4 linked regions of the Alligator mississippiensis genome follow. The protein of the gene in region 3 purifies or fractionates together with the protein of the main gene of each other region. This does not show direct contact. Links are inferred from orthologs where the notes say so. Each region holds a gene or a part of one and is shown on either strand. Other genes may lie near its edges. The genes, in order: SMARCA4, SREBF2, CREBBP and SMARCB1.

The links.
Region 1: the proteins of CREBBP (region 3) and SMARCA4 purify together in Homo sapiens (affinity purification with western blotting; 3 studies listed by BioGRID, with this or other methods). This does not show direct contact. The link is inferred for Alligator mississippiensis from reciprocal best matches to the Homo sapiens genes CREBBP and SMARCA4.
Region 2: the proteins of CREBBP (region 3) and SREBF2 purify together in Homo sapiens (affinity purification with western blotting; 3 studies listed by BioGRID and IntAct, with this or other methods). This does not show direct contact. The link is inferred for Alligator mississippiensis from reciprocal best matches to the Homo sapiens genes CREBBP and SREBF2.
Region 4: the proteins of CREBBP (region 3) and SMARCB1 fractionate together in Homo sapiens (co-fractionation; 3 studies listed by BioGRID, with this or other methods). This does not show direct contact. The link is inferred for Alligator mississippiensis from reciprocal best matches to the Homo sapiens genes CREBBP and SMARCB1.

Annotation. Positions count from the first base shown.
Region 1 is NC_081831.1:23,547,664-23,555,565, forward strand, and holds the start of SMARCA4 (transcription activator BRG1), read right to left. Parts: upstream 3,018-7,902; 5' UTR 2,854-3,017; intron 1-2,853. UniProt on the Homo sapiens protein: ATPase involved in transcriptional activation and repression of select genes by chromatin remodeling (alteration of DNA-nucleosome topology).
Region 2 is NC_081827.1:96,982,100-96,989,330, forward strand, and holds the start of SREBF2 (sterol regulatory element-binding protein 2), read right to left. Parts: upstream 3,018-7,231; 5' UTR 2,894-3,017; coding exon 2,812-2,893; intron 1-2,811.
Region 3 is NC_081836.1:24,211,092-24,218,153, forward strand, and holds the start of CREBBP (CREB-binding protein), read right to left. Parts: upstream 3,009-7,062; 5' UTR 2,790-3,008; coding exon 2,705-2,789; intron 1-2,704. UniProt on the Homo sapiens protein: Acetylates histones, giving a specific tag for transcriptional activation. Mediates acetylation of histone H3 at 'Lys-18' and 'Lys-27' (H3K18ac and H3K27ac, respectively).
Region 4 is NC_081833.1:18,298,658-18,306,335, forward strand, and holds the start of SMARCB1 (SWI/SNF-related matrix-associated actin-dependent regulator of chromatin subfamily B member 1), read left to right. Parts: upstream 1-4,677; 5' UTR 4,678-4,758; coding exon 4,759-4,851; intron 4,852-5,989; coding exon 5,990-6,101; intron 6,102-6,672; coding exon 6,673-6,702; intron 6,703-7,678. Other genes in the region: MMP11 (stromelysin-3), read left to right, coding at 585-842, 1,957-2,090.

The sequences.
Region 1 (7,902 bases), on a different chromosome or scaffold from region 3:
TGGTATTATTTATTACATGCAGTCAGAGATCTCAAAGATTTTAACACTGTAATATTTGGGTCAAGATTTTCCACAGTTTTACATAGAAAATTGTAGTATCTGGAAAGCCAAGGGCATTTTGTAAATGTTCAATTGAGAGGCACCTCCTTCCATGAGCTGTCCTGAGGTATATGCCTTGAAAAAAAAGCATATTATTCAATTAATTTACAAGGACAGTTAAAGACAAGCGCCACAAACAACAACAAAGACCCTGCTTTAAAACAATAGACTACATTGTTAGTGGCAGCCTAACCAAGAAGGAAGAGCAACCCACGCTGAAGCAGGAGATGAAGGGAAGACAGTTAAAATCCACTCCTGATATCAGGGCACCAGGGAACAGGGAGCATCCTGTCAATTGTCAATTGATTTGTAATAGTTGGTCCTGCTGAAGAAGGAAATTAATTTGCATTCAAATGTGCTTTGTGCATATCATTAAAAGTGGGGGGGAGGGTTTTTTGTTTTTTTGTTTTAACTGAACCCTGGGAGAAGATGCACTGTAAACCTGCAGCCCCAAATTCATGCAGATGAGGTGGGAGGAAGGGGGGATGACTGTGTGACAATGGGCTTTGTGTGTGGGGTCGCATGTGTTTCTGTGCCTAGTCTGTGCAGCTGCTACTGTGAATGGTGTTCTTCTCAGCCCCCTCCCCCAACACGAGAATGGGCTTTGTGTGCCTGTGTGTGCATGGGTGCACATATATGTGCATGTAGGGGAGCACCCTCCCCCACGAGATAGCAAGCCTGGGCAATGGGCAACAGCTTGGAGGAAGGGGTTCCTGGTCCCTCCAAGAGCAGAGGTGAACTGACTTGGCTCCCATGGGTTTCTTCCGCAGGCTTTGGCATTATTTTTACTGGTAGAAACTGAATGCAAAAAGGGCTGCGAGTTAGGGGCCTGGCCTCAATGGTGACCCTCATGTCACCCATTCCCCAGGGAACAGGAGGAGTAAGGGACCAGTGCAAACACAAGGGTTGGGTGGGGGAAAGTGATGACTATGGGGAGGTGCTCATTGTCAGGGTAGTCTCCCAGAAATGAGATGGGGAAAGGCTGAATGGGGGCAGAACCCCCCTAGGGCTGGTGGTGATGCTAAACCCAGGAAGGTCCTCTGTTATGCTGGGGGAGGACAGAAGGGGATGAGGGTAGAGATGCTGATGGGAAAGCCCACTCACCTAGGATGGGGAAAAGATGTTGACAAAGGAGCAGTTCCCTTGGAGGGGATGGGGGGCAGATGGTGATGCTGAAGAGCAGGAAGAAGGTAGGTACTTCAAGGGGGGGGGGATCTTAAAAGGGCAGCTCCCTTGGGGGAAGGATGAAGAAGATATTGTTGAGGGGGAACACACTGGTATTCTGGGAAGGATGGAGAAGAATCCCACTAATAAGTGGGGGCCACAGGTCAGTGTGCTGGGGGGGGGGGAAGGGATGAGGATGCCAAAAGGAGGGGATGAGCTGAGCTGCCCCTCCATGGGGTATGAGGGAGGAGAGACTCCCCCACCCTGTAGGGTATGAGAGGGTGAGAGATGGTGCTAGACGAGGTGGGGTGGTCTGAACCCTCAATGGTGGGGAGGGATCTGGGGAAGGGGAATGAGCCCCACAAGGGCTGGGGAGGGAGACAGCAAAGTCTTCAAGATTGACAGAGGCAGATGCTGCTGGGAGGGGGGCAGAAGCAGGGAGGAGCTGTGTTGGGGTGCTGTATGCAGAGACCCAGGGGATCTGGGCGGAGGGAAGAAGATGGGAGATGCCAAGGGAGAGGCAAGCAGAGCCCCCCATGGGGTGAAAGAGGAGGGAGATCATTCAGTGAGGCATGGAGGGGGAGAGGGCCCCTATAGGGTGTGAGGTGGGAAAGACAGAGATGCTGATGAAGGAGGGAGGGCTCTGAGCCCTACGAGGGCAGAGAGGGTTACCAAAGGCCCCAAGAGCAGATACTGCTAGGGAAGAAGGACTGGGGGGGGCAGAGAGAGGGGATCTGGGGGGAGAAGGAAATGGAAATGCCAAGGAAGAAGCAAGCAAAGTCTCCCTATGAGGTGCATGGGAGGGGATCCCACAGTGGATCATGCAGTGGTGGCAGGATGGAGACTGAGCCCTGTAAGTGCAAGGAGGGGGGAAAAGGTTGCAAAGCCCCCAGGAGGGGACAGGGCAGCAATGGTGCAGAAGGGAGGGAGGGGCTGGGGGGGGGGGGGTGCAGAGTGCCAGGCACCTGCAAGGAAGTTGGGATGCCTGGGGAGGGGCCAGAAAACCCCCTGATAGGGGTGTGGGGGGATCCCCTCGGGGGGAAGGAAGACCCCGACACAGTGTGAAGGGGAAAGAGATGCCTCTGTCTGGTCAGGACAGTCTGAACCCCCAATAGGGAAAAGAGGCCTGAGCCCCATAGAGCCTGGGGAGCCACGAAGCCCCCCACGCGGGCACAAGGACTGATGCTACCAGGGCAGTCGGGGGGGGGACGGAGGGGGGGAAGGGGGCTGCACAGACACGGGGATCCCCCCCACGGGCTGTGACAAGGAGGGGAAGAGATGCTGACAGGGTCTGAGCTCTCAATGGGGGGCAGGAGACCCCTCCCGGGACGAGGCGGCACGTGCCCGCGAGGATAGGGCCCCGAGGGAGGAGGGGCGGGGGCCGAGCCCGCGTGAGGCGACGCTGCGGCGATGCCCCCCCCCCGCCCGGCGAACAATGGTCCCGGCCGCTCCTGTCGCGCGCGCCGAGGTGTCTTGACCCGCCCGGGCCACCGTAGCCCCCCTCAGTGCCTGGCCCGGTCCCATTCCATGGGGGGGGCCGGCTCCGCGGCCCCCGCCCCCCGCCGCGGCCCCCCCGCCCACGGGCCTTACCGCGCCCGGCGCCGCAGGAGCCGCTCGCACGGTGCATCCCTGCCGGGGCAACGGGGGCAGCGCGCGGGCTCGTGCCGGGGGGGAACAAAGGAGCCACCGCCGCCGTGTGCGAGGGAGGCGCGCGCGCACGCGTTCCCCCTCCCCCCTCCTCTGCGCGCGCTCCCGCCGCAGCGCGTCCTCGACCAGCGCCGCGCGCGCGCGCCCCCGCCTCGGCTAATGGGAGGGGCCTCTTTGCCAGCCGGCCGGCAGCAGTCGCGTGCGCCCAGGGGGCGGGGGAGAACCGAGCCAATCAGGAGGGCGAAGACAACATTTTCGCTCTCCTTTGACCGAGCTTTTTTTTCGCCCCCCGCCGCACCTCCACCAATCGGGGGCAGCGGACCCTCCCCCTCGTGGCTCGGCGGCCAATCGGGGTGCGCTGCGGGGGCTGCCACTCTCTCCCACCTCCCTTCGCTCCCTTCCGCTTCGCGCTGACCCCATGCAGCTCCAGCCAATGGGGGTGGGGGGGGCGGTGTCAGGCCGGCTTCGAGCCGGGCTCGCTCCTCTAGGGCGGAGCGAATGCCCTTCCCCCCTGTTCCGCTGGGGGAGGAGGGAAAAACTGCTGTCGCCGCGCATGCTTAATGCTAGCGCCACTGCGGCGAAGGGGAGGGGGAGGGGAGTGTTGGAGAAGGGGCTGGTGGCTGAGGGAGAAAGGGGTGGGGGAGGGGCGACTGGGAGAAAAACGGAGTGGGAAGAAGGGAGAGGAAGGGGTGAAAGGGGAGTACTATGAGGGGGAAAGGAAAGAGGGGGCTGGAGAGCCAGAGACTGGGGGCTTATTCTCTTGACACCCCACAGCCATCCAGGGCTAACGGCTTCTCTGCCAACCCTCTCACCTAGGCGGGGTCCCAGGCTGAGAGGCACCAGGCTGCAGCTTGGTCTAGTCTCAGGAGAAAGCCCATTGTTTGAGACAGGGCTGCCCTACATTGCCCTGGCAGCCCGAAGGGGATGGTGCTGATGTGCCTAGGTAATCCTGGCCTTCCCAAAAGGCTTGATGAACATGTGCTAATTAAGCATCTTGGCTCTTCTGAGAGGCAGGTAAGGGATACCCAGGGACAACTTCCACCTTTGGGTAGAACTACCACTTGTTTAACAGCGTGGAAAAATGCTACATAAATTAGAGTGAAGGATGGGACACAGCTCTGCACCTAATTGAAATGGCAGAGCAAGTTAGGGCATCTTAATAAACCAGCCCTTAACAAGAAGTGCCACTGTGTGGTGACTAGCTTCTAAGTTTGTTGGGGGTTTTCAGCCTTGGCTGAAAGATAATCTCTGCTGCAAGACAACACCCCCTCGCACCACATTTGGGCATTGATTCAACAGGAAAAGCACTCCATTGACTCACCATGACACTGTTTGACTTGTGAGAGCAGATAGGGTCAGGGATTGCCAAAGGCATTAGCTCACATTGCCGGTTCCAGCCAAGGCCCACAAGGTTCAGGGCAGGAGGATGATGTATGCACATGTGGAATAGTTACTTGAGGTTCTCACATGCTTGTGAATGTATTTCCCAGGAGTGTCACCACCTGACTTCAAGCTGCAACCTTTTGGATCCCACCCAAAAACAGCCACAGTTTTCCTCCCACAAAGCTCTAGACGCACATGCTCTACTTTATTTATCCTTCAAATAGGAAAAAAAACCAGTCACTGACACGTCTCTTATTCCCAGCCTAGTCCATAGTATTGTAGTCTACACCAACTGGAATCTGCTAACTGATCAATGCAGAAGGCAGCAAATGGACAAAGTATCCCTGTAGCTAACTAAAGAAAGCAGGGTTCTTTGGGAGGTGGGATTCAGTTGGAAATAATTCATATTTTTTCTAATCTGCTTTCCTAATTTTCTCTCATCTTCAAGGCTTAATAAAAATAGTTCTAAATCATGAAGATTTGGTGCCTAGGTTAGAAATCAGCTCGGTTTTTGCTTAAGGATGGGAGGGAAACACTTAGTTCTTTCCACAGCAAAGGCTTCTGGAATGTAATCTGGTTCTGGAGTTCTTGGATGCTTCAGAAGGATGGTTAACAGGTGGGGAGGGGATAAATAGAACCCCTTTCTAGTCATGGCATAAGGACTGGGAAATGGGGGGGGCAGACTGTAGCAGGGGAGGACACAGCTAAGACCATAGCTTTGCTGCAGCTCATGGGCTAATTCTGGATAGTGGCCTGATCAGATACAGTCCCTGGAATGAGTATGTGCATCTTTTCCTACTACTCACATCCCATTGCTGTGTTTAGGGTAAGCCAGCTGGAAAAAGGAGAGAACAGAAAGAAAATTAAAGAAGAAACACTGCAGTGATCTAACTAGGCAGACGAGAAAGGGAGGCCTTGAGAGAAGGAAAAAAGCCAGTATAAAAGGAGAAATCAGACAAAATATTGTAAAGGAGAATTATTTGGGAAGGGGACATATGTAACTGGACGTCTCTCACCAGCTGCTGATTCTGGTTTTCTGAGGTTTCTTCTTTTTGTTTCCTTTCTCTACATCCTTCTCTCTCTCTCTCTCAAGGGGCTTGAAATGTGGTTATATGCCAGACTTATAACTCCCTTGTGCCAGGCCCCTTCAATTTGTCCTGTAGAAACATACAAAGAACGGTTAAGATGAGCTCAAGTTTGTATTGTAGCTAAAATGAACCCAGATGGTACTGTAATTTCCATTAAAAAAAACCCCTCACCAGCATTTCCAGTGGAAGCATTTTTCCCAGACCCTCCCTGGGAAGTGTCTGTTCAATTTGTCTATCCATTTTCAGAAGTTCCCAGCACCACTGAAAAGCCGAATAATTAGAACGGGAACTGCTTTCCTTTCAATCCCACAGGGGGCCACGTTTCTGCAGTGGATGTAGTGTTCCCATCTGAACGCCTGCTGGAATCCTCCTTGAATGACAGGCGCTAGATATAAAGAATGCCTATATAAACATGAAATTACATTATTTATTCTATGCCAATTAGTTTAAAAGTTGTCTTCCTTAAAGCCGAGCCTGACAGAAGCCAATAACCTGATCATTTCAGCTAGCATGAAAAAGCTTAAGAGGTTGCAGACATGCTGGCATTGAGTTATTCAAATCTTTCCTCACCAAGTTCATTCTTGGAGAAGCACTGATATTAAGCTTCAATTAACATGCACGTTATAAATTGAGCTTTACAGAAAAACATGCCCAGAATGCCTTATTCTCTTCTTTTTTTTTCCCCCTCAAAAATTAATTTTCACTGCAGTGAGGAAGACTATTGATTCTGCTGTCGCGTAATATTGTTCCCCCCCCCCTCTTTTTACAAAGAGAACATCAGTGCTTGCTCCAGATTAAAAAAAAAATAGAAAAATCTGAAAATCCTACCCTTATTAAATGAGCATAAATCAACTGCTGACTCTTGAGGTGGAAGATTTGCATTTCCTCAGATGTCTTTAAGAATGCTAGTTGCTGGTGCCAGAGAGCTGCTGTTGGTATGAAATTTATGTGAAGGGAGAGTCAGCCCAACATGTTTATTGCCTATTGATTTTTCCCCCTCCTTTGCCTTTCATGACCACTATGTAGTCTGAATGCATATAAATTACAGTCGCCTTTCACAGGAGCAAAACAGCATTAATACATCACAGTAAGCCCTTATGTAGCTTTACATCTTCAAAATGCTTAGGTTGGCAATCTCCATTTTACAGGTGTGTAAACTGAGGCACTAATTCCACTGACCAAACTGCTACTTGTTGGGAGAGCTGAAGATACACCAAAAAAAAAAAAAAAATGGTCCTGAGTCTCAGTTACTTTCTGCTGTCCAGTGGCACATTCTAATCGAAAGCAAAGGGAAGGTGTAGTGTGTGAATGGGACAGGGTGATTTCACTGAGGATTTGTTTTTGGTGGGTGGACTAAATATTTGATTTTCTGGGCTGTGCTTGTTCCCTAGGTGTGTAATCCATAACTTCCTGTCTTTATTCTGGTCATAGTGACTCTTTCGGTCTGTTTTTCACATGGTTTCTTGGTACATAAATATTCAGTTTTTATATAACCAAAAAACCATTCTCTTATAGATCTAAACACCCTAGCACTATATAACAGCTCCCCCCCAACAATCCATACGTCTCAAGCACAACAATCCATATATATATATACACACACACACATACACACACATATATATACATATATAGCACATATGATACTGGAATACAGGGCCTCATAAACTCCTGTACTGTGATCCTGCCTCTACAAGGAAGTAATGTATTTTCTAGGATTTACTGAGCCCTCAATTCTGTTATCAAATGTGTGCGCTATCCTTCCCCACAACATTATTAATTCTAAACTAACACAATACAAATATTCTAAAAAGGGTTATAGGTTGGACACAGGAAATTACAGGCCATTTATTCTGACACTGATTCCAGGTAAAATCATAGAAAAGCTGAGACTATGCAATCCATACAGAATTAAAAGATGGCAGCATAATTAATGCCAGTGAACATTGGTTATATGGAAAATAGGGTTTGTCAAACCTATTATTGTTTTTGATGAGATCACAAGTTCGGTTGATAAAGGTAACTGTGCTGACATAATCTACTTAGACTTCCATAAGGCATTTGACTTAGTCCTGCATGACATTCTGACTTTTAAAAAAATTGGTAGTATACAAAAATCAGACTATACTTAAATGGATCGAAAACTACTTAACTGAAAGATTGTAAAATATAATTGTAAATGGGAAGTCATTGTCTGTTAAGGCTATTTCAAGTGGGGTCCTGCAGGGATCTCTTCTTTACCCAAATGACATTTGGTATCTTTTATCACCCATTCAGAAGCAAATAGAAAATTTGGAGATGATACAAGCATAATAAGTAATGATTGGTCAGTTACACAAACCAACTTAGACCATTTGAGTCTTAAGTATTTTAACACAGCCAAGGTCATACATTTAAGAACAATGAACAAAGGTTAAAATTATACTCCAGGAGAATATATCCTGGAAAACAGTGACTCAGGAAAAAAGTTAGGGTTCAGGGTACATAGCCAGTTGAATTTTAATTCCTAGTGCAATGCTAT
Region 2 (7,231 bases), on a different chromosome or scaffold from region 3:
TACGAACTTTACAATGATGAATGCTGGGCAACAGACAACACTAACTTCATCCCCAGGAGACAGCTGAAAAAATATGTGTACACTCATTTTTTTCCTTTTAATGTCGCCATGAAAAAATTGAGTTGAAATACCAGGGAAAGGAACAGACATAAGCAGTTGAAAGGGTTGATTCAGGTGGAAAAAAGTACTCTAAATGTATGTGTTCTGTGCCAGATTCACTTTTCCAGGATAGGAAAAATATTTTTGATATGTCTTGTACAATCTGGATCTCAAATGCATCTTTTTGCAACGTTTTTACAGCCAACATAATGTTTTTCTTTTTAAACTGTGTAGCACTGCAGTAAGCTGCATGTGGACATTTTGTATGGACAGACCTACATTTTATACAGTTAGTAGGACTGATCAGTGCTCTCACACAACACTCCCTGGCCTCATTCCAGGTCCTACTCTGCAACCTGAACTCGCAAAGTACTAACTTCCTAGAGTATTCAGCACCTGGGCACTAGGGCCTGGACACTGCACAGTCACAATCATTTACCTTGCCATGTATGTTTCAGACTGACAAGCTACTGTAAACTACTGTACAAATGCACGCATTTGTAAAGAATGGACTGCAGAGAATACTCTAGCCTGAAAGAGCAGAGTGTGTGGCAGGGCTGCTGCTGCTGCTGCCCTGGCAGTGAGATAAGGAAGATTTAAAAAAAAAAAAAATCAAAGTTATTTGACAAGCTCGTGTTGGACTGCAAAACACCAGGATCTTGCATGCTGGACTGCAAAACACCAGGTTCAGACATTTGGTGTATGTGCTTGGCTGAGGAGCCAATGGGGCGAAGCTACCATCTGTGGGATTATGACTGAATGCCTCTAAATCAGAATCCCCCCTAAACGTAACGATACCGCAGCGCCGTGGAGCCTCGGGTGGCCCCGGACCTTGCTCTTGCTTCACCCCATCTAAAAATGTAACTTAGGGCTGAGCCAAACAAAATGCTCCCATGCTTCCTTTCCCTCTGTCGAGGATGAGTTGCTCTGAACTATACCAAACTGGCTGCATCAACTAGTAACACTGCTGACCAATAACTGATCAGAAAATCTGCCTCTTGGTTCGGTCTACCAACATCAAATGGCTGTTACACACCAGGTGACAGAAAGAGCACCTATTGTTTATTCTCTGAAAAGACCGCCACCTATAATGCTTTACATATTCAATGAGCAGCACCAACATAACCTACTAATATTAAGCTTCAGCACCCTTTTGTATAATAAGCTATAACATCACCTAGCCCCATTTTGCAGATTGTAAAATAGCAAAAGAATTTCCTAAGGCAACATTACAAGTTAGCAGCAACTCTTAACTCCAATGTGTGACTCAATGTTGTATTGATCCACCAGGGAGGATGCTGTAAAACACATGTGCTCCTCCCTTCGTGCACTGCACAATCAACTGTTGAGCAAAGCCAGAAGAGGCACTTGTACAACAGCAGGCCATGTTAGCAAGTCTCCTGTTTCTTCTGCAGGCCAGCATTTATATTCAGTCCAGATCAGGTGTTCACTACCAGGGAACAACAGAAAGAAACTGAGCAAAGGGGGGGGGGGGGGGGGGGGGGAATAAAGCATCTGGGAAACGTCTCCTTTTGGTAAGGCATATTTAGGATTCTATGGAATACCTGCTCATAGAAATCAGTGAAAGCCCAGATGTCTGAGTCATTTATACAGGGGCTTGGAAAGGCACGAGGGAGTACATTTCAAGCAACTTACTGCTGACTTCAGACAGGCTAGAACTAAGGGGAAGATGCAACTTAACTTGCCTGCATCCTTTCCAATTTCTTTGATGCTAAAACCAGCTATTTATAGGCCGTGACACTTCAAGTTATTAGTAGGAAAGAAGTAGGAATCTGGGCAATGAGAATAAGCAGCACAGTGTTTACTGCTGCCAGGACAAAAGCAGGTGCCCCAAACCCAGATGTCTGAAAGGACACTACTATTCCCGTACCCTACACACACACATTCACACTGCACTTATTCCCAGTGTCAATCCCACAAAAGGGCCCCCCAAGAAAGCAATGGCTATGATGAAACCAGAGAGTTGTTGACGACTGCCCCATCCCTTGCGAGCATCCGCTGTTAGCCAGAAACATCCATATGGCAAACTCTCAAAAAGCAAGAAAGAAAAAGAAAAAAAGCATGGTGGAAGCTGATGGAGATCCTGCTCTCAGGGGCACTCCCTTGCACAGCAGCCGGGGACACAGGAAGGCAGCACACACCTTTCAATCGGGGATGCCAACAGAAATAAAGGCTTCTGGGATGCAACAGTCTGTGCGAGAAGCACACCCATGGCAGGCACAGCGTAGACACGCAACCCTGCCTGGCGGATGTGGGCCAGGAGTGGCAGAGCCCCGGGGGTGACTTCTGCCTAGCAGGAAGCCCCATGGTGCCCACGCAGGTGAGTCTCGCCCAGCAAACCCCACCTGCATGGGACAGCCAAGCCCCAGGCAGAGGAAGGCAGTAGGGCCCCGACACCCTGCGCCCACCCAGTACCCTCCACCCAGCCCACGCGAGGCAGGAGAAGGGTCTGGCCCAGCCAACCCCACCTGTGTGCGAAGGCCAAGCCTGGGGGCACACGAAGACACCCTGTGCCCACCAGGCCCACCGCACCGAACCCGCGACAGGGCGGCCCCCCACGCGCGGGCCCTCACCCAGGGCGGCCCCACGCGCGCCCCAGGGCCAGGCTGCGGGCACGTGCCCCCCACGCGTGCCGCCGCCCCACGCATAACCGCGCGCAGCCCGCGCCCCACGCGTGACCCCCGCGCTCACCGTCGATGTCGCCCAGGGTGAGCTCGTCGCCCAGCTCCGTGAGGGTCTCCATGGTCTCCATGCCCAGCTCGCCACTCTCCATGGCCGCCACCGCGCGCGGGCCCGCCCCGACCGCTCACCCCGGGCATCAACCGTCCCGCCGCTCAGTCCCTGCTCCGAGCTCCCGCAGGCTCCGCCGCCATCTTGGGCCGGCCCCGCCCCCCCGCCGGGCAGCCCCTACCCCTACCCCCACCAACGCGGCAGCGCTCCCGCGGCGCGTTGTCAATGAGACCAGGGCCCCTCCGACCAACCAGCGGCCGCGCCGGCTCGTGGTGTGATGGCGCGTCGGCGATCAGCAGCTTTGATTTGCATACATAGCCCCGCCCCTCCACCTCCTTTTCTCTCCTCCTCTCCATGTGGAATATTCATGAGGGGGCGGGGCCGCCTTGCTAATTATTCACCAGCGCGAAGGAGAATTTAAAGGGGCAGAACGCAGGAGGGGGGGCTGCAGGGCGGGGCGGGGCGGGGCGGGGCGGGGCAGGGCAGGGCAGGGCAGGGCAGGGCAGGGCAGGGCAGTGCAGTGCAGTGGCAGCACCAGGAGAGCTCAGGTGCTGGCAGGGCTAGAGCGAGGTGCCAGGAGCCTGGCTGAGCCCTGCACGCTGCCAGTCCTCCAGGGCCTTCCCACAATTCCCACCTCCGGGCACAGGACACAAGCACTCCCTGCCGGTGGGGCCAGGCCCTGCAGCTCAGCTGAGCGCAGCAAAGGGGCCTTCGGGCCCCTGGGCCCTGGAAACACCAAGGCCTGAGCAGGCATTAGGTGCCCCAGGGCTTGCCGGTGCAGGCAGAGCCCAGAGGGAGCAGCCCCCTGCAGCCCCAAGAACACAAGAATGACCGTTTCCAGGCTCTGCCCCTTGGGCCCCGGGGCCAGTGTCACACGGCAGGGAGGGGGTGCACAAAGGAGGAGGGAACTGGGTGCTGCCAGGGTTTTCCGCACTGCTCCTCTCACTCACAGCCTCCAGCATTCAGGGTCTAGACTCTAGGCCCAGGGTGCTCAGCCTCTGGCCTGTGGGCCAAATGCAGCACACAGAGCCTTGGAAAGCAGGTTGCCCGGGTCCCTGCAGGGCAGGAAAGTTGGAGCAGGGGCACAGGGGCAGGTCAGGCTGCCGCCCTCCCTGCTGTCAAAAGGCCAAGGCCCTTGCGAGGGCTCAGAGCCTTGACCTGCTGTTCTCCCCACATGGTGCTGGGCCATGCCTCCTTCCATCTGCCCAGCCAGGTTGGAGCTGGGCTATGCCTGCTTCCTTCCATGGGGCAAGCCATGCCCTCTCCCCTTTAATGGCTGGTTCAAGGTTGGGCCATGCCCCCTGCCCCCCCAAGCTGTTTGCCACACCCCTTTCACCTGCTCCACCAGTTTGGAAACAGGCCATCCCCCCCCCCCCCCACTTTCCCTACACAGCTGGCTGGGAGCCAGGCTGCTCTCCCATTCCCCTCCGCACAACCGGATGGGGACCTGCCACGCATGCCCCAGGGGCTGAACTGGGTCCACCTGCCCAATCAAGCCCATGAAGGGACAACGTCTGATTCAGAGGCCGTGCCCCTCACTTCTGTGCTCAATAGCAACTGATGCCCCTTTCCTCTAAGAATGCATCCCATCCCTTTTTGAACCTGGCTAAACCATCAGGCAGGCAAGGAGTTCCATACTCTCACAACACCCTGCGTGAAAAAGAACTTCCTTTTGTTAGTTTTAAACTGATTGCCTCCTGGTTTCATTTTGTGATCCCTACTTCTTGTATTCTGGGAGAGAGTAAATAACAAATCCCTGTTTACTTTCTGTTCACCATTTAGTATTTTGTAAACATTTATGTTCCGCCTCATGCATCTCTCTTCTAATCTGAATAGGCCTGGCCTCTTTAATCTCTCCTCCTATGGAAGAGCCTCCATTCCACTAATCATCCTTGTTGCCTTTCTCTGTACCTTCTCTAGTTCCTCTATATCCTTTTTGACATGCAGGGACTAGAGTTTGAGGATTTCTTGATTTCATTGCAAGTTTCACAATAAATGATGTGTTACTTGCACCTTATTTCTTGCCCTCCGTGGTTGTAGAAAAATACCTTTACAAAGTGCCCCGAGTGTTCCTAAAGGTTCAAAGACTCAATGGCAAACATAAACACACACCATACAGAACACAAACTATTGGGCAATTTCCAATTCTTGTGATTTTAAAGCCAGTCTCCCTGATTTGGGGAGGGCCCGACTCACAATTTGAAAATGTCCAAACTGGCCGTACTGCTGTGGAGTTACACTTGGGAAAAGTTAACAAAACCATCTCTCTAGTTATGGTTTAACCAGCAACCTGCAGCTCCCCTGGCCAGGCTGCATTTCAAATATAATCCTGTCGTGTCATTTCAAGCCATACAGTTTGCCAAATGTACATGTTCTCTGGATAGTTAGGGACCCCTGGCCTTCCTCTCTTACCTCAGTGCAGCCTTTGTATGGCAAACTGCTCCACCCTTCTAGCTCTCCTATTTAGCTGGCCAGGCAACTTTTGTTCCCTTCTGCCATGTGTCTTTTCCCCTAATTAATCGTTCTTCTTCTCTAACCACTTTCTTTTCTGAGGCTCTTTTGGTAGGGAGTCCAGCAATATACAGTCTTGGTGCTCTGATCTTTTCTCCTCTGTCTTCTCTTCCCACGTCTTTGTTTCTTCTTCCTTTTTAATGTCACAAAATCCATTATTTCCTTTCAAGCCCCACTACCAAAACCTTTGTTTGATATTGCCTTTATTATCACAACCTTCAGCCTCTCTCCCTATACTGTAGTCACCTCTCCAAATTGTTGTATTGGCTTCCTGCCTCCACACCAGATTCAAGCTCTCATTCATTTGCAAGCCTTTACATAATCCCCCACCTACACCTCTGCTGTTGCTTTCCCTTCACTGTCCTCAAATGCTCTACACTCTACCCAGTCCCTTCTCTTCTCCTTCTTCCTCCTCCCTTCCCACCCACTCGACCAGCCCTTTCTTCAGCCCATCTCCCTGTCCTCACCTGCCACGCAATTCTTCTTCACATCACTTCTGACAGCCATCTTTCCTCCTCTGATGACTAATCCGCAACCTGTCCCAGCCCTCAATCGTTCCCCTGTCTTTTGTGCTTAACATAGTATTATAGTGCTGCAGGGAAGAAAACACTGCTCCATGAGTGAAGTGTGGCATTAACCTATAGCTCTATATGAATAAAACGTTAACTATTCTGAAATACAGATGTCTCAAAAGTGAGGTGGAGAAGACATTTGACAGCAATTATACACAACGGTTGAAGACCTGAAGTAAAGACTGTAACTACCCAATACAAATTTGGCCATAACACTGGGGCTAGAACCTTTACTTTTGTGACAAGTAATGTTAGATCTGACAGTTTTCAGAGGCCATAGCTTCATTTGTAATGTGCAGGGATCCTGGTTTTCTCTGTTTAAAAAATCCAAAGTCTCTGATAAAAAATTCCAAATTTTCTGATTAAAACCCCCAAAATCTGCATTTTCCCATGATTAAAATGAAACACCACTATATTTTATTTATATATATAATTATTTTTTATTATTATTTTATTATTTTTATATATATATATATATATATATAAAATAAAGTTGAACACAATGTTTTATTGATATATTTGCAATTTTAAAGCAATTTAGAAGCCTACTAGTACCTCAATCGTCATAATAAAATAAATTCTAAATACCTATATACTTTGGCGTTTGATATTTTTTTATCATAGAAAATAATAGAAAAATCAAAGCTCCCCCTACCCACTTTGCTTATCAGGACACGGGTCCAGCTGTGGCTGTTCCCCCATGCTGCTTTGTGGTGCCGAGCAGCCCCAATATGTCGGTGACTTCCTCCCACCCATCCTGTTGCTCTTCACTCCCAAGCCACAGTTCTCCCAGCCCTGCTGATTCTCCTCACTCCCAACCCACAGCATCCTGGCCTTGCCAGTGCCTCTCACTCCCAACCCATACCCCCTTGGACCTGCTTGTGTCCCTCACTCCTAAACTACAGCCCCCCTCTCCCAGCCCCCCAGTGTGGGAAAGGGCATGTGTGGGCACAGGTGATGCGTGGGGGGTGGGAGGGGCACAAGTGACATGGGGGCTTGGGGGCATGTGCCCCCCAAGATTTCTGTGCCCACAACGGGGCACCAGACTGCAGCTGAGCTGGACAAGTTCTGGGGCAGGAGCTGCCTCCGTGGCTCATCAGAAGCAGTACACGGCACAAGAAGGAATGCTGCCATGGCCACAAAGTTGAGGTGCCCCCTGCCCACCTGGCAGCAGTCGGGGCACAACTCCATGCTGCTACCGCTGCTGCACCTCACTGTGGTGGCTCCTACTCCCCACAGCAGCCCACTGCAGGCTAGAACTCCTACATTTTTCTCTGTTAAAGGAGAAATCTGTGATT
Region 3 (7,062 bases):
CAAAATGCTAGACTATTTGCCTCAAGCAGTTCTTATTATAATCACTGTAATGTAGATGGAGTAACTGTATTTCACTGCTTTTAACATTAATCAACTACTTCTACCATAAAAATTAAGATACTTAAATATTTACTCTAAAAAGGGGGGCCCTTCCATCCAACTGCTACACAGACCATCATATGAACTAGGAACAGAAAAAAATTAAACAACAGCATGCACATTAAACATTCAGGTCCACCTGTGCAGTTAAGACCATTCAGAACACTAAAATTAAGCAGGTATATAAGCACTTGCAGGAATGCAAACTTAATCTTTAGTAACAGAACGGCACAATTGAGCTTTACATTACTTACACCTGAATCAATTTTAATCTCTCACAAAAGGACGCAGCAAACAGCTAAAGTATGCCACTAAATACAATTGAGTGTTACACATTACACAGCCTATTGCTTTTAAGAGCACATGGCTCAAACCTATTTGTCCAAACAACTGTGATCAAAGGCAACTTTCCAGGTTGCAACACAAGGTTCTATTACTAAAACAACAGGCAAGAGCTCATTTTAGGGTCAGAATTTGAGTAAAACATTATAATGAACACCTTTTTTTTTTTTTTTTTTTTTTTTAACAACCTGTTATCTCATGTGGAAACATTCATTCACCTTTCAAATAGTATTAAAAAGATAACTCAAAGATAGATGGAATAAAAACCTTTCAATATACCAAGGATACAATAAAACCAATGCTATTCAAACTTTTCAGAAGTATTACGCTATGAATATTTTTAGATGCTGACCAGACACTATAAAGGTACATGTGAGAAAAACGACTTTTCGGACATCATCACTGTTGAGGGACCAAGGCCCTCAACTCTACAAACATTTCACACCACTGCTGTCAAGGAGTTCTCTGAGGCTACTCACAGGCTTAAGTGTTTGCAGAATTGGGACATAACTTAGTGTGTCCCAATTCTAAAGAGAAACTATTAACTTCAGAAGTCAGTGTTTCAAGTTGTTATTTTACCAGCCAGGATTACACGCTATAACAACTATATGAGAAATTAGGATAAACGATTTCCTTTTTTCTTTGGTTCCACAGTTCATTTTATAATTTCTATATTCACTCTTGTGAATATAGAAATTCACTATATGTCACTCTTCTTCAACATGATATCCAGTTATTTGCAGAAAAAGCTAGAATCATTTATAATCTTTCAAGCATTTCCTCCCTTTGCTACACATTATATGAAAGAAGAATGGCAAAAGTATCTACTACATAGTCAAATACAGATAGTAAATAAGCTGAAATAGCAGTACACCTAATCTTTCATTTACAGCATAATTTTTCAGTGTAAAAAGCATCAGGCTTAATTAAAGTCCCTTTCACTAAACATTCACATGCCTTCATAGACTTGTGGGTGTCAAACATGCCTTCTTGGTCTGTTACTGCTTTTTCAGATACTACCCTAAATTTCAAACTATACACATGCACATAAAAGTTTACAAAAATAAACTGTAAAATAATCTGTTCAAAATAGAAAAGTATTCCCCTTTTCCTAACATGATTTTCAAAGATATTTTCTACTGTGATAAATAATTACTGCAAAAACTACAACTATGTTGTTCAACTATGTTGAAGTGTACGTATTTTGAGACTAGTGAGCATTTTCAATACACAAGACATCATACAACTGGCATGCATAAGACACCTGCAAATTTCTATAGGAAAATGCTCAAAAGCAGACTAAGGTGACTATTTGTAAGACCCAACTTTTCAGTTAAGAACCAGGTCATAACAGTTACAAAGGTAAGTATAGGAAAACATAAATTCTTTACACCAAACAAGCAAATAGTAATTTTAAACAGGGAAATTTGACATTTTTTTTCCTTTCCCCAGAATGTAAAGAACTTATATAGTCAAAGCCAAAAACTTTCAGAAGTAGTTACTGTGAATGAAATCTTTCTGGTTCTCAAACGCACTTCCCAATGGATGAAGGCACATTTACACCACATAATGACTGCTCAGGAGATATTATTCCTGCTCCCTGGCTAACTATGTGGTCTTGACAAAGTAGTAAAATGCACAGAATAGGCACAAATAATTCTGTCTAAATGCAAGTCAAGCTGAGACACCACTAAGTCTTCCAAGAGCAAGTACAGAAATCCCTGGACCATGGCAGTGACATGGCTCCAAAGCTCCCTACAGAAATCCTCAAGTTCTGATCAACTGCACCTCTAGTTTACCTTTATCTGAGGGCATAAGCAAGCAAAGGCAGGGAGGAATGATCCCTTTCACTTCCATTAGGTCCTGCCAAGCTCTGGGGAACCCGTCACCGGTCCTGGAGCAGCGGCCACAGCTGGAGGACAGGCGAGCCAGCCGCCAGTGAGCTCCGCTAGAAGGGGATGGGGGTCCGGCAAGTCTGGCCTCCGTGAGGGCCGGCTCAGCTTGCAGGGACGGGGCAGCCAGGCTCGGGGGGGAGGGGGGGGGCACCTCTCCAGCCAGGTCTGGGGCTGTCAGGCTCCTCCCGGACTCATCCCCTAGCTTAGAGCCGCGGGGCGGGGCGGGCCTGGCGACTGCCAGAGAAGCGGGGGCTTTTGTTCAGCGGCGAGCCCCAAGGGGGACGGTCCTGTCCGGCCTCAGCCCGGTCCCGCGGCCCCGGAGCCGCCTGCGAGGCCGGTGCGCAGGTGCCGGCTCCGCGGTCGCTCACCTGTGCTGTCGGTGGGGGGGAAGCCCGGCGAGTTGAGCTTGGGTCGCTTGGCGTTGGGCGGCCCGTCCAGCAAGTTCTCCGCCATGGCAGCCGGCTCGACAGTCACAGCCCCAGCCCCGCCGCGCTCCGCCCGCCGGCCGGGGCCGCCAGCTCTTGCGCTCCGAGTCGGGCGCCGCCAGCAGCCGAACAACAGCGCCGCTCAGTGCCGGGCCGGCGGCGGCCCCCGCTCCCCCATGCCCGGGCCGGGCCGCCGCCGCAGCAGGCCGCAGGGAGGAGGGCTCGGGCTCGGGGCGGGGTGGCGAGAGCCCAGCGCCCCCCCTTCCCCCCCCCGCCTCGCTCCTCCCGGCCGCTCCCCCGCCCTCGCGCGGCGAGGAGGTGCCCGGATGGCGGCTCAGTCAGTCACTCCGGGAGCACAGCGCCCCCCCCGCGCCCGACCCGGCCCGGCCCGGCCCGTCCCCTCCCCTCCGCGCGGGCTCGCCCCGGCCCCGACCCCGGCCGCGGCCCAGGCTCCGCTCCGCGCTCGGCCGCCCCGACGCCCGCCCACCCACGAGCAGCCGCCGCCGCCGGCAAGAAAAACAATGAGCGCAGCGCGGCGGCCGCGGCTCCCGGTCCCGGCGGCGGCGCCCGGCTCCCCGCCCCGGCCGGTGCTGCCCCGCTGGCCGAGCCCGCCTGGCCTCCGCGGCGCTCCGTGCGGCTGCCCGTGCCCCGGAGGGCCGCCTCGCTGGCCCGGCCCGGCCCGGCCCGGCCCTGCTCCCGCTCGCGCCGCGCTCGGCTCCGCGACAAGATGGCGGCTGTTGATTCCTCAATTAAAAAAAAAAGTTTTTTTTTCTCTTCTCTTTTCCAGAGACCATGGGGGCGGGGGCGGGGCGGGGCCTGCGCGCTGCGTCACCGCGCAGGGGAACGCCCCCTCCCCCGCCATCGCCGGAAAGACACGAGCGGCCGCGGAAACAGCCGAGCGCGGCCGGAGTGGGCGGGGGAGGGGGAAGCGTATGCAAATAGACATGCAAATATGGGGTGCCCGGTGCGCGCCGCTGTAGCCACAGCGCCCCCGAGGCTCCTGCCTGGGTCCTGCGCCCCTCGCACGGCCGCCGTGCTGTGGGCACTCTGCCCCCGGGCACCGCCACGCCGTGGTCCCCACCGCCCGCTGCCCCTGGAGCACCTCATGTCCCCGCCAGTCGGCCAGTAAGCGCCTGTCCTCCCTGCCCTGCTGCCTTCTCCCCACCTCGCCTCAGCGCTCACCCCCGTTCTGCCTCCAGGTGGTGCCTCCTCGCCCGTGGCAGCACCCGGCAGATTTTACTAACTTACACGGACAATTTTGTAATCTTAGATCACTTTGAACACAGGTTGGTCTTCACCGGTCACACATCTGCTCCCCTCCAACACGCTGCCCGAGGCAGAGTGCTCACCCTGTTGCCTTCCCCCGGTAATACCCTCTGCCTACACCTCCCTCTCCACCTTCCTGTGATGCCCACCATCATCCACTCCGGCATCCGCCTCTGCGTAACACGGATTGAGCAACTGCTCTACTGTCTATCTATAGGTCCAAACCTCCTAGCACCTTCCTCCATACCTACTTCCTATCCTACAGTGCCCACCCACACTTCTCACCTTTTGCTTCCCCACAGTGTTCCCGTCCAGTTTGCCTCTCTAGAGGGTTCAGAACTTCCCACACCTCCAGCTCATCTTTCCTCCATGCTCCCCCATATTCCATATGCCGATACTCCATAATCCTGAATGACCCTGTGATATGTTCGTGTACCTGCCACACATTGCCATTGGAAATGTCTCTCACACTTTCAGAACCCCAACACCCGTCAGCACACCTGTCATGCAAGATCCCCATGTTTTTGCCCATCCAGCTGCTCAGCACTTGCCCACCTTCAGGCAGTATCAGGGCGTACTTAAGGGTCTAAGGGAGACCCCAGCAGTCTTTCCTGCCTATGACAACAATGAAACTTCACTACAGCACCAGCCAAACTTTCCCCAGCAAACATTTACCTGTACACATTCTTGCTGCCTCTATGCAGAGAGCCATCACACTGCCTCTGCATGGTGGCAGAAGTGCACACAGAAACACTGTTTCTGTCAAACTACTTGTAATATAATTTTAAGGCAAAAAAAGTGGAGGTGGTAGAAAACAAGGTGGATGGGGGCAACAAACATAAGATCTCTTGATTGTACAGATGAGTTAATACATTGCTTTAGTTGGATATATTAGATTTTATGCGTCTTAAAGCTGTAATAATCTATTTCCATTTAAAAAAAAATCTGTTTTATCAGTTGCTACATTATATTTGTTACTTTTATGAATTTCTTTAGTTATTAAAGGGATTACTTAATATGGCTGCCAGCCATAGCACGACTTAATAGTTCCCTTTAAATTAATGGTTCCAATACCTATATTATTCCTATTGCTATATAATTCCTTACTAATGCATATTCCAGTGAATAATTACTATTTTTTGTTAAATTATATCAGTAGCATAAATGCCTGGGGGGGAGCAGGGGCACCTGGGGCCAGAGGTGTGGGCTCTGCTTTTTTTGAGAGGGGCAGAGATTCAGAAATAACTAGCTACATGGCTAGTGGTTGGCTGCACCTCTACCACCAGCAGCATGGCGTCCAGCACTATCGTGTGTGCTAAAACTGCCCCTGGTGCCAAGCTGCACTGTTATGGCTCTGAATTCCGTCTTTCAAATCTCAAGAAAATCAATCATGTCCTGTAAGATTCACAATAGACAACTCCAATTCCAAGGATCTCAGTAACTACTAGAATGCCCAAAGTCTGGGACCAGAAACATTTTCATATGTCCATTATTTTAACTGGAGGCAGCATAATGGTAACAGTATATTCATTGCTCTTCAATTGTCAGTAATTAAGGACATCTAACATTGAGGAAATTATGAATTGCATACACTCTTTTAATGTATCAATTTCACTGTCATATATTTGTACCAGTTGGGAAGAGGGAACATACATTTTATGTCAGAAGTGTGGGAGGATTCAGCCTCTGGGAGAGAAATCAGGTCATATTGTCTGTCACAAGCAACAATGGATCACAGTGCTCTCAACTTCCTTACAACTTACGCCATTTTCAAAATGTTCAAGCAGTGAATATTGAATGATGGCCTAATTCTTTACCCAAAACTTTCCCATTTAACCATCAGTGGTTAGTTGTCTTGAATACAAGGTGTTCACTCTAATAATTTAATCAGTCGTCAGGGTTTTTTTGCAATATTTGTTTTCCAGTACTGACTCAACATCTGCTGATTCAGAAGACGAGGACAAAACTTCTAATTCAGATAAGGATTTACAGGATCCACCAGTGGGGTCATAGTAACTCACACATCCTTTGGGTATAGCTCCAGGAAGACTACTTACTACTTCAGTCGAGTGCCGAGGGTTTGGAACAGGTTCCCCCATGAGGTGGTACAGTCACCAACCCTGGTGAACTTCAAAAAGCATCTTGACACACACCTTGCTGGGGTCACCTGAGCCCAGCAGTCTTTCCTGCCTATGACAACTATGAAACTTCACTACAGCACCAGCCAAACTCATCCCAGCAAACAAGTTGGGTGCGTCCAGACGAGTGCACATGTGCCTCTTGCCCCATCTCAAACCCCTTTGAGGCAGGGCAAGGGGCACTGAAGGAGTGAAAAAATGTTCCGTGTGCTGCAAGAAAATGAGACCCCTGGATATCCAGGGGTCAAACAAAAACCCGGGGGAAAAAACTGGGTCTGGGACCATGCCCTCAGGCAACTGGAGGCTTAGTCCTCCCGAGACGCTCTGGCAGAGTACCAGAGCATCTCTATGATTGGCCCTTTCTCTGCTCCTGAAGCATGCTGCCTACCTGTGCTGGGCAGGCAGTGGTGCAAGCTGCAGGGACCCAGACCCAGCTTTTGCCAGGTAAGCAGGGGGTTGGGGGCTGGAGAGGGGGGGGACCTCAGGAGGCTGGAGATGGCAGGGGAACAAGCAGGGGACTGGAGACAGCCCTGGAGGCATTCCCCTGCTGTCCCCTGCTCTCCCGAGGCTGGAGACAACGGGAATGTTTCTGTGGCTGTCTCCAGCCCCCTGCTCCTTCCCCTGCTTTTCTCCAGCCTCAGGGGGGCAGGGGGCTGGAGGCATCAGGGGAATGTCTCCAGGGGCAGTCTCAGCCTCCTGCTCCCTCCCAAGGCTGGAGACAAGCAGCGGAAGGAGCAGGGGGCTGGAGACGAGCAGGAGGCTGGAGACAAGCCCCTGGAGATAAGCTGGAGACTTCCCGTGCTCTCTCCAGCCTCCTGCTCATTCTCTGCTACTGCTGGTGAGTGGGGCGGGGGGGGAGGGGGGGCTGGGAGAGCAAGTGGGGAGCTGGGGGAATGA
Region 4 (7,678 bases), on a different chromosome or scaffold from region 3:
CCCACTTCTCTATATCATCACACTAGCTGGGATAATGCAGTGGGTACTAAATGCCTCTCAGCACACACAGAGCAAAATCCTAACCATGCTCCTTTGAGCAGCCTGCCCACAATAGCCACTTTAGAACAATAACCAGCAGCCAAGTCTTCACCAACTGGAAGGGGAGAGAGAAGCTTATTTTCATGTTACACAGATTCATCACTTGGGACTCTGACCCCATTGGGGTTGGCACCATGTGACAGTGTGGACAGAAAGTACTGGAGACTGAAGTAGTCCCTTAATTCTCAAAAGAGGCAAAGGAAAGGCAGCAGGTAGGCAAGTTCTCTCCACATCACCCCTTGACACAACCACAGCCTTTTGTAGGGGTGAGATGAGTGTTTCTTATCCCTGTCCCTTTGATGCCCAGCATCCCAATCACTATCAGCAAAGGGGCCTGTGGTGGTGGTGGCAGTGGTTTCCCTGCCATGGACAGCTTTCCCTCAACTGGGCTGACATGCTGGCACATCCCACTGCACAGACATTAGACAGGACATTCCCTTCAATCATGCCTGCCCTTACATGTTCTTCCTTTTTCTCCTCATCAGGCCCTCAGTACTGGATTTATGATGGTGAGAGACGTGTCTCTGGCCCTGCACCTATTACGGAGCTAGGCCTTTCTACTTCTCCCGTCCAGGCAGCCTTGATGTGGGGGACTGAAAAGAACAAGATTTACTTCTTCAAGGGAGGCAATTATTGGCGCTTCAACCCTAGCGCCCGCCAGGTGGACAACGTCTACCCCCGCACAATGGCTGACTGGCGTGGCATCCCTCAGGAGATTGATGCTGCTTTCCAGGATGAGACTGGTGAGTACAGAAAGGAGGAGACACATATCCCTGCATGTGTGTTCTCACCTAGTCCTGCCTCTTCAGTGGGAAGGGAATCAGCAGGATTTGGAGTGTAAGGATCATGTGTAAATTAGCATTCATAAAAGAAACACATGAATGCACACATATGAACACTATGTATACTGAGCGTGAAATCAGTGTCCAGTGTGTATGTGACTGATGCATTTGTAATAAACTTTGCAGACGACCAAGTAATTAAGCATCTGTAGCCTCCTGGATATTAGCATCCTTTGGGAGAAAATGCAAGGAGAACCATGTAGACATATTTTGTTGGTTAGAGAGACTCTAAATCAATACTGCCCTCCATTCTCTTAGTCACGTGAGTTTATATGACTTAGTTTATATAAGCTGTATATGCACTGATCAATGCTTGTATTAATCAGTAATCTAACGAGGTTACAGACTAACACAAGGAAAACTTCCACACTGTACACACTCCACAAAGAAAAAATGCATACCAGCATTATGAACAGCACTTCCTTTGCTTTGGAGGATGCTCAGAATAGCAGAGAAGTACTGTCATTATCATCTGGTTCCCCACACTGGGGTTCTTTGCTAAAAAATGGCAGAGCAATGCCACACCCTTTATCCAGAAATATGTTGGGAGCACTTGACAAGAGATGCATTAACCCTAACATCTTTTCCTTCCAAGGGAGTCCTTCATAATCAGCATTATGCCTGAACTCTCAGTAGTGGCTTGAATCTCAAGGGAAGGGCATCTCTCAGTGGTAACAGATTCCCATCACCACCATCCTACACCTACTTGCATATCGAGTAAAGGTCTAATTCTGAGCCCTTATCTCCCACTCAGGCTGTATTTCTCTCCTCACCTCCCTCCCCTATTGGTACCACACTTAAAAAAGGCAGCCTGATTTGCTAACCTAGTGAAGCAAAACAATGGGAAGAACATTTCTGGGTGACACGACTGACATGCACAGCTTTCTGCTCACCCTCCTTTGCTGTTTAGTGTTCTGGCCTTTGGTGTGGCTCTTCATCCTCTGAAAAAAACGAAGGGTCTTGTCAGTAGTATATATTCTGTCTCCTTTGACACTTCACCACTCTATTTCCACAGGTTTTGCCTATTTCCTGAGAGGCCGACATTACTGGAAGTTCGACCCAGTTCAGGTGAAAGTGCTAGAGGGTTACCCACGCCAGATCAGCCAGGACTTCTTCAGCTGTACACCTTCCTCCAACTCCTTCCGATGAAGAAAGGGGTGCTAATGGCCCCAGATTCTTCTCCTGCCTTCACACATCACCACCAGTCACCTCAAGAGATGTCCCACACTCTGACAAAGAAACCCCACTCCTGTCGTGCTCATCACTTAACACCATAGGTGGCACAAGTGGCTTGAGGCAGCTGTTAGTCTAAGGTGGAAACCTTAGATTCCAGGAGTTTGTACTCACAGCTTGGTATAGACATTAAAGATGACTGCAGCCTTGATGACTACCAGCTGCCTGCATTAAGGGTCGAGTGGCTGCTCTAACAGTTTTTTGGCACTGACATCCTAAAGACAAGAAGCCAACTTGGAATGGGGTCTGCTTCCATAATTATCTGGACACCATCCACTTAGAAAAGGGATTCCACTGGTATTTCTTTTGTTTACATTGTGTACAGCGGGGCTTCGCTTACTGATGTTTGCATTGGTGAGAACAGATTCCATCAATAATCCTTTCCTTAGCCTTGGCTGGGAGTTTTAACAGTCAGTTGACTATGTGTTGAGAAATTCAGATATGTGCCCATGTTGCCAGGGTTACTTCAACAGGACGGGGTGGGCTCCTGAATTTCAGCATCTTGTTCCACGTCTAGTGATACTTCTGTTTTTGTATTGCATTTTAAGTATGTATTTTCATTTTATATGGATTTGTGAAAATACTACATACTTTTTTAAGAAAAAAAAAAAGATGCTAGGTTTCAGTGCTGGACGCTGCCTTGTATCTCCATGTATTGTTACTAACTCTGGGAGTCTCAGTAGGACACTAGATCACCACACGACCTGCGGAGGGTCTGAAACTTCACCACCAATTTCAGAACTGCACTTGGCCAATGTCCAGGTCTCGGTTCAGCTCTTTGTTCTCTCCCTATCACTGCAAATCATTGTGCAAACGATGATTATTTTGTTCTTTTTTGTTCCTCCCCCTTTCTACCTCTCTCATCCATGCCATTCCTAGCCCTCGCCCCATCTCTCCAGTTCATTCCAGTTGCATCTGCTTCCCAATCTCATCATTTCTGATGCTTGGTACGGATCTAAAAAAGAAATCAACAAAACAAACTTTTGCTGGTTGTTACAGTCCCAGGTAGCATGACGACATCCCATTACTGCTCTTCCCAACTGTCCTGGGAAGGGTAGTCCAGAGGGGGTTGAGACCTACTCAGTTATCCTTTCCATGTATCAGCTTTCCTTCAGAGCTAGTCAGCAGAGACAAGTGGGATTTAAACCTACCCACAGCAAATAAGGGATGTGGCTACATGGCCTGTACCACCCCTAGCCTGCATGGTCTGCCTAAGCACTACAAATTTACCTCATTCATTTTTCAGGTCAAGGTTTTTGTCTTCTCAGTACCCATTTCTACAGCCGTTCTTCTTCTGTATGTAAATGTTTGTAAAATGTGTATAAACCCTTTTTATATATACTGTGTATATATTTATATGCTGTGCTGTATCAATGAACGTGATCTCTTTTCTATGCTCTGCCTGGTCTGAGTCTCTCAACATCAACAACAGCTTTAAAACCGGTCCCAACTCGAGACCTCGTCTTAGGCAGTGACGGAGCTGGAAACGCAAGTGGTATTTTTGTAACCAGGTCTCAACATGCTCAGTTGACCCAGTTTCATCAAATGCAGCAGTTGTGGCTACCAATTATCCTCACCTAATAATATATATCACTGCAGTAGTGTTTAGAGGCCTTTGATCAGGATGTAGGCAGGAAACTATGGCCTTGTGCTGAAGAAAAAAGTGAAGGAAAACTATAGCAAACACTGAGGACAGGCAAAGCCTGAGGAGCCCCTGCAGAGCTGCTAGTAATTGCTCGTTGCCAGCAGATCCAGGGAGATAATTATTCCCCTCTACTCAGCACGGGGAGGCCACATCTGGAGGACTGTGTCCAGTTTTGCAGCCCCCCAAAGGGATGTGGACAAATTGGAGAGTCCAGCAGAAGGCAGAGGCAATGGCTGAGGGGCTGGGGACACGACACACCAGGAGGCCGAGGGAACTGGGCTCATTTAGTCACGGAAGAGAAGACGGAGCAAGTTTGAGGGCAGCCTTCAACCACCTGCAGGGGGGCTGCCACGAGGACGGGGCCAGACTGTCCTCAGCGGTGGCAGGTGACAGGACAAGGAGCAAGGGTCTCTAGTCGCAGCAAGCTGAGGTTGGATATTAGGAAACACTCCTGCCGAGGAGGGGGGCGAAGCCCTGGGACAGGCTGCCCGGAGACGGGTGGGATCTCCAGCCTGGGAGGCTTTTAAGGACCTGCTCGGCAAAGCTTTGGCTGGGGCGATGCCGCTGGGGACGGCCCTGCTCCGGGCAGGGGCTGCACTCGATGCGGCCCGAGCTCCCTCCAGCCCCCGGTGTCTGCGGCACCAACCAAGCGACCCCTCGGCGCTGCTGCAGCCCCCGCTGCCGGCTGGCGCCAGACGAGCCAGGCAAACGCCGCGTGCAGCGGGACTCGGCCTGGGAAAGCCGGCGGGGACCGACGGCACCAGCCTGGGGGGACGAGTGCTGCCAAGCGCACAGCGCGCCCCGCCCCGCCCCGCCCCGCCCACCCGGCGGGCCCGAGGGGGCGGGGCGGCGCGTGCGCACTGAGAGCGCGGAGCAGGCCGCAGTCTACCCAGCCCAGCTCGAGCCGCTGCCGCGTCCCGTCCCGTCCCCGCCGCCACGATGATGATGATGGCGCTCAGCAAGACGTTTGGGCAGAAGCCCGTCAAGTTCCAGCTGGAGGAGGACGGCGAGTTCTACATGATCGGCTCCGAGGTACCGCCGCGCCGGGCCGGGCTGGGCCGCGCCGGGAAGCGCCCTGCGGTGGGGGGGAGACGGGCTGTGAGCGCCCCGGCACCGCCTGGACACCCCCGATTGGGGCAGGAGGTCATGATGGGCGCGCGCACACACACACTGAGTGGGGCAGGGGGTCACAATGGGCGCGCGCACACACACACACACACACACCCCAGTTTGGGGCAAGGGATCACGGTGGGGGCACACACATGCGTGCACACACACTGATTGGGGTAGGGAGTCACGATGATGGGTACACACACACACGCCCCCCGTTTGGGGCAGGGGATCACAATGGGTGCGCGCGTGCACACACACACACACCCCTCAATTGGGGCAGGGGGTCACGATGGGCACGCACACACACACACACACACACCCCCTGATTGGGGCAGGGGATCACGATGGGCGTGCGCATGCGCACACACACACACCCCCCTCGATTGGGGCAGGGGGTCACGATGGGCACAGACACACACACACCCTGATTGGGGCAGGGGGTCACGATGGGCGCACGCATGTGCACACACACACACACACCCCTCGATTGGGGCAGGGGGTCACGATGGGCGCACACACACACACACCCTGATTGGGGCAGGGGATCACGATGGGCGCGCGCGTGCACACACACACGCACACCCCTCAATTGGGGCAGGGGGTCACGATGGGCACACACACACTGATTGGGGCAGGGGGTCACGATGGGCACACACACACACACACACACACACACCCTGATTGGGGCAGGGGGTCACGATGGGTGCACACACGCACCCCCCGTTTGGGGCAGGGGTCATGTTGCTCACACACACTCTCTTGTACACAAACACTTTGGCCCCTGACCGACCAACCCCTGAGTGAGGATAGATGAGGGGGGAGACTCCCCATGACAGCGCCTGGTCTCCGGGCACTCCGAGCCATCAGCAGCCCCTGCTGGGCCTGGCAGACAGGCCGCCAGCCCCACGGGGCTCAGGGCCTGATGAACAAGGCTGGATGGGGGTGAAAGAGCTGCCCCTCCCCCCCCCACACCAACCACCACCATTTGGGGGGGGGGGAAGGGCCTCGTTTGGCTCGCGGTGCCCCCCAGACCGAACCTCCACGCTCTGGGCTCTAGGTGGGGAACTACCTGCGCATGTTCCGGGGCTCCCTGTACAAGCGGTACCCCTCGCTGTGGAGGCGGCTGGCCACTGTGGAAGAGAGGAAGAAAATCGTCGCATCTTCTCACGGTAAGGCCCCGAGCATCTCGTCCTAACACCTCATGCACAAAAGGAGTGTCTGGGAATGGGACCGGGCAAAAACCATCTAATCACCCCCCACCCCTGAGGGAGCTCTCGTTGAATGCCAGGAGACTAAGGCTTTTCTGACTTTTCTCAGGTGAATTTCATTTGCTGTAGCAAGCATCTAATCTAGTCTGCTTGCTCGCTGCTCCTGTGATAACAGGGCAGGAGGGTCATGGTGCTTGTTCGAAAAAAAAAAAAAAATATCCCTCTGATTTGTCTCCTCTCTGGGATCTCTCCATGTGAGATGGGAAGATCAGTGTGAATGGTCGCAGCTTCTAGAGCTGTTGTAATGCGAGAACTGCACCAATAGGAACAAAGCAAAGTCAAAATTTTGTTGTCTCAGGAGTTTGTTTCCTTGTTTCTCTCATGAAGGAGAACAAGCTACTTGAGTTTTTTGGGTTTTTTGGAAAAAAGAAACATAACCTTATAGAAACAACAGGCCTGGAGCATAACAGGCTTCTGTCTCCTTCCTCTGAGTTTCCTGCTGACTTGTCGCTTTCTGTTTTTTTTCCAATAGAGTCACAGCGGTCTCACAGTCCCAGAAGATGTAAGTCTTATCAGCCTATGTTATTCTTAGCTTTGCTGGACAACGAATCCCTGTTCTGACCCTTACTGCTGTACAAGCATATTCGCCTCTTCTGGGTCATTGGACTCGTTTGCCCTCTACTTTGGCTCTTGCTGCCTTGAAGAAGGATGTATTTTTCTTAGTGGTTGTACCGACTGTGTTTGTTCACAAACTTATGTGTGGGTTTTGTGGGCTGTCTCCAGATATGAGGGGGGCTGCCAACCAGTCTCCCAGTTCTCGTTTTTACCTGGTTTTTACAGGCACTTGTCCTGTCTGCAGTGGAGTCTAGCTTTGACTAATGCTTTTGATTAGTGTGTGCAACAAGGGCACACTGCTGACTCGTATTCAGCTTATTGTCCACTGTAACCCCCAGGTCCTTTTCTGCAGAGCTGCTGCCCAGGCAGTCAGCCCCCAGCCTATGCTGGTGCATGGGATTGTTCTGAACTCTGTTCTGCATTTAGCTTTCTGTCTCCTTTCTAGCCCGCCCTCCAGGCCTCATTAGTTTCTAGGATGTCTCTGTCCTGCAGTGGGAGCAATCAAGCACCTCATTAAAGGATGCTACATGAGCATCAGGTCTTAAGTCCATGATGGCACTTGTGGATTTATGGTACAGGAGTAAAGCTAGGTGTCAGCTCATTTTCCTGTCTGTAGTCATTTTATGTTCAAAAGAAGGAACAAAGAGAGTGGTCTTTAACTTGTTGCTGAGGTGTGGTCCCAGGTAAGCAGATTAAGAAGATTTTTTTTATATATCTACAGTGGGAACTCCAGGATAAAAGACATTTTCATCTGATGCACGTTAGATTTAATATTTAATGAGGACTTGGACATTTCCAGTCATTTTCTTGCAGGAATATTAAGGTTTGTTATTAAATAGCTCAAGATATTCCTTTTGTCCTTACAAAAAGTGGTGCTTGATTCTCTAATAATAGGCCTTAGCCTTCTGCTCTAGAAGCACTGG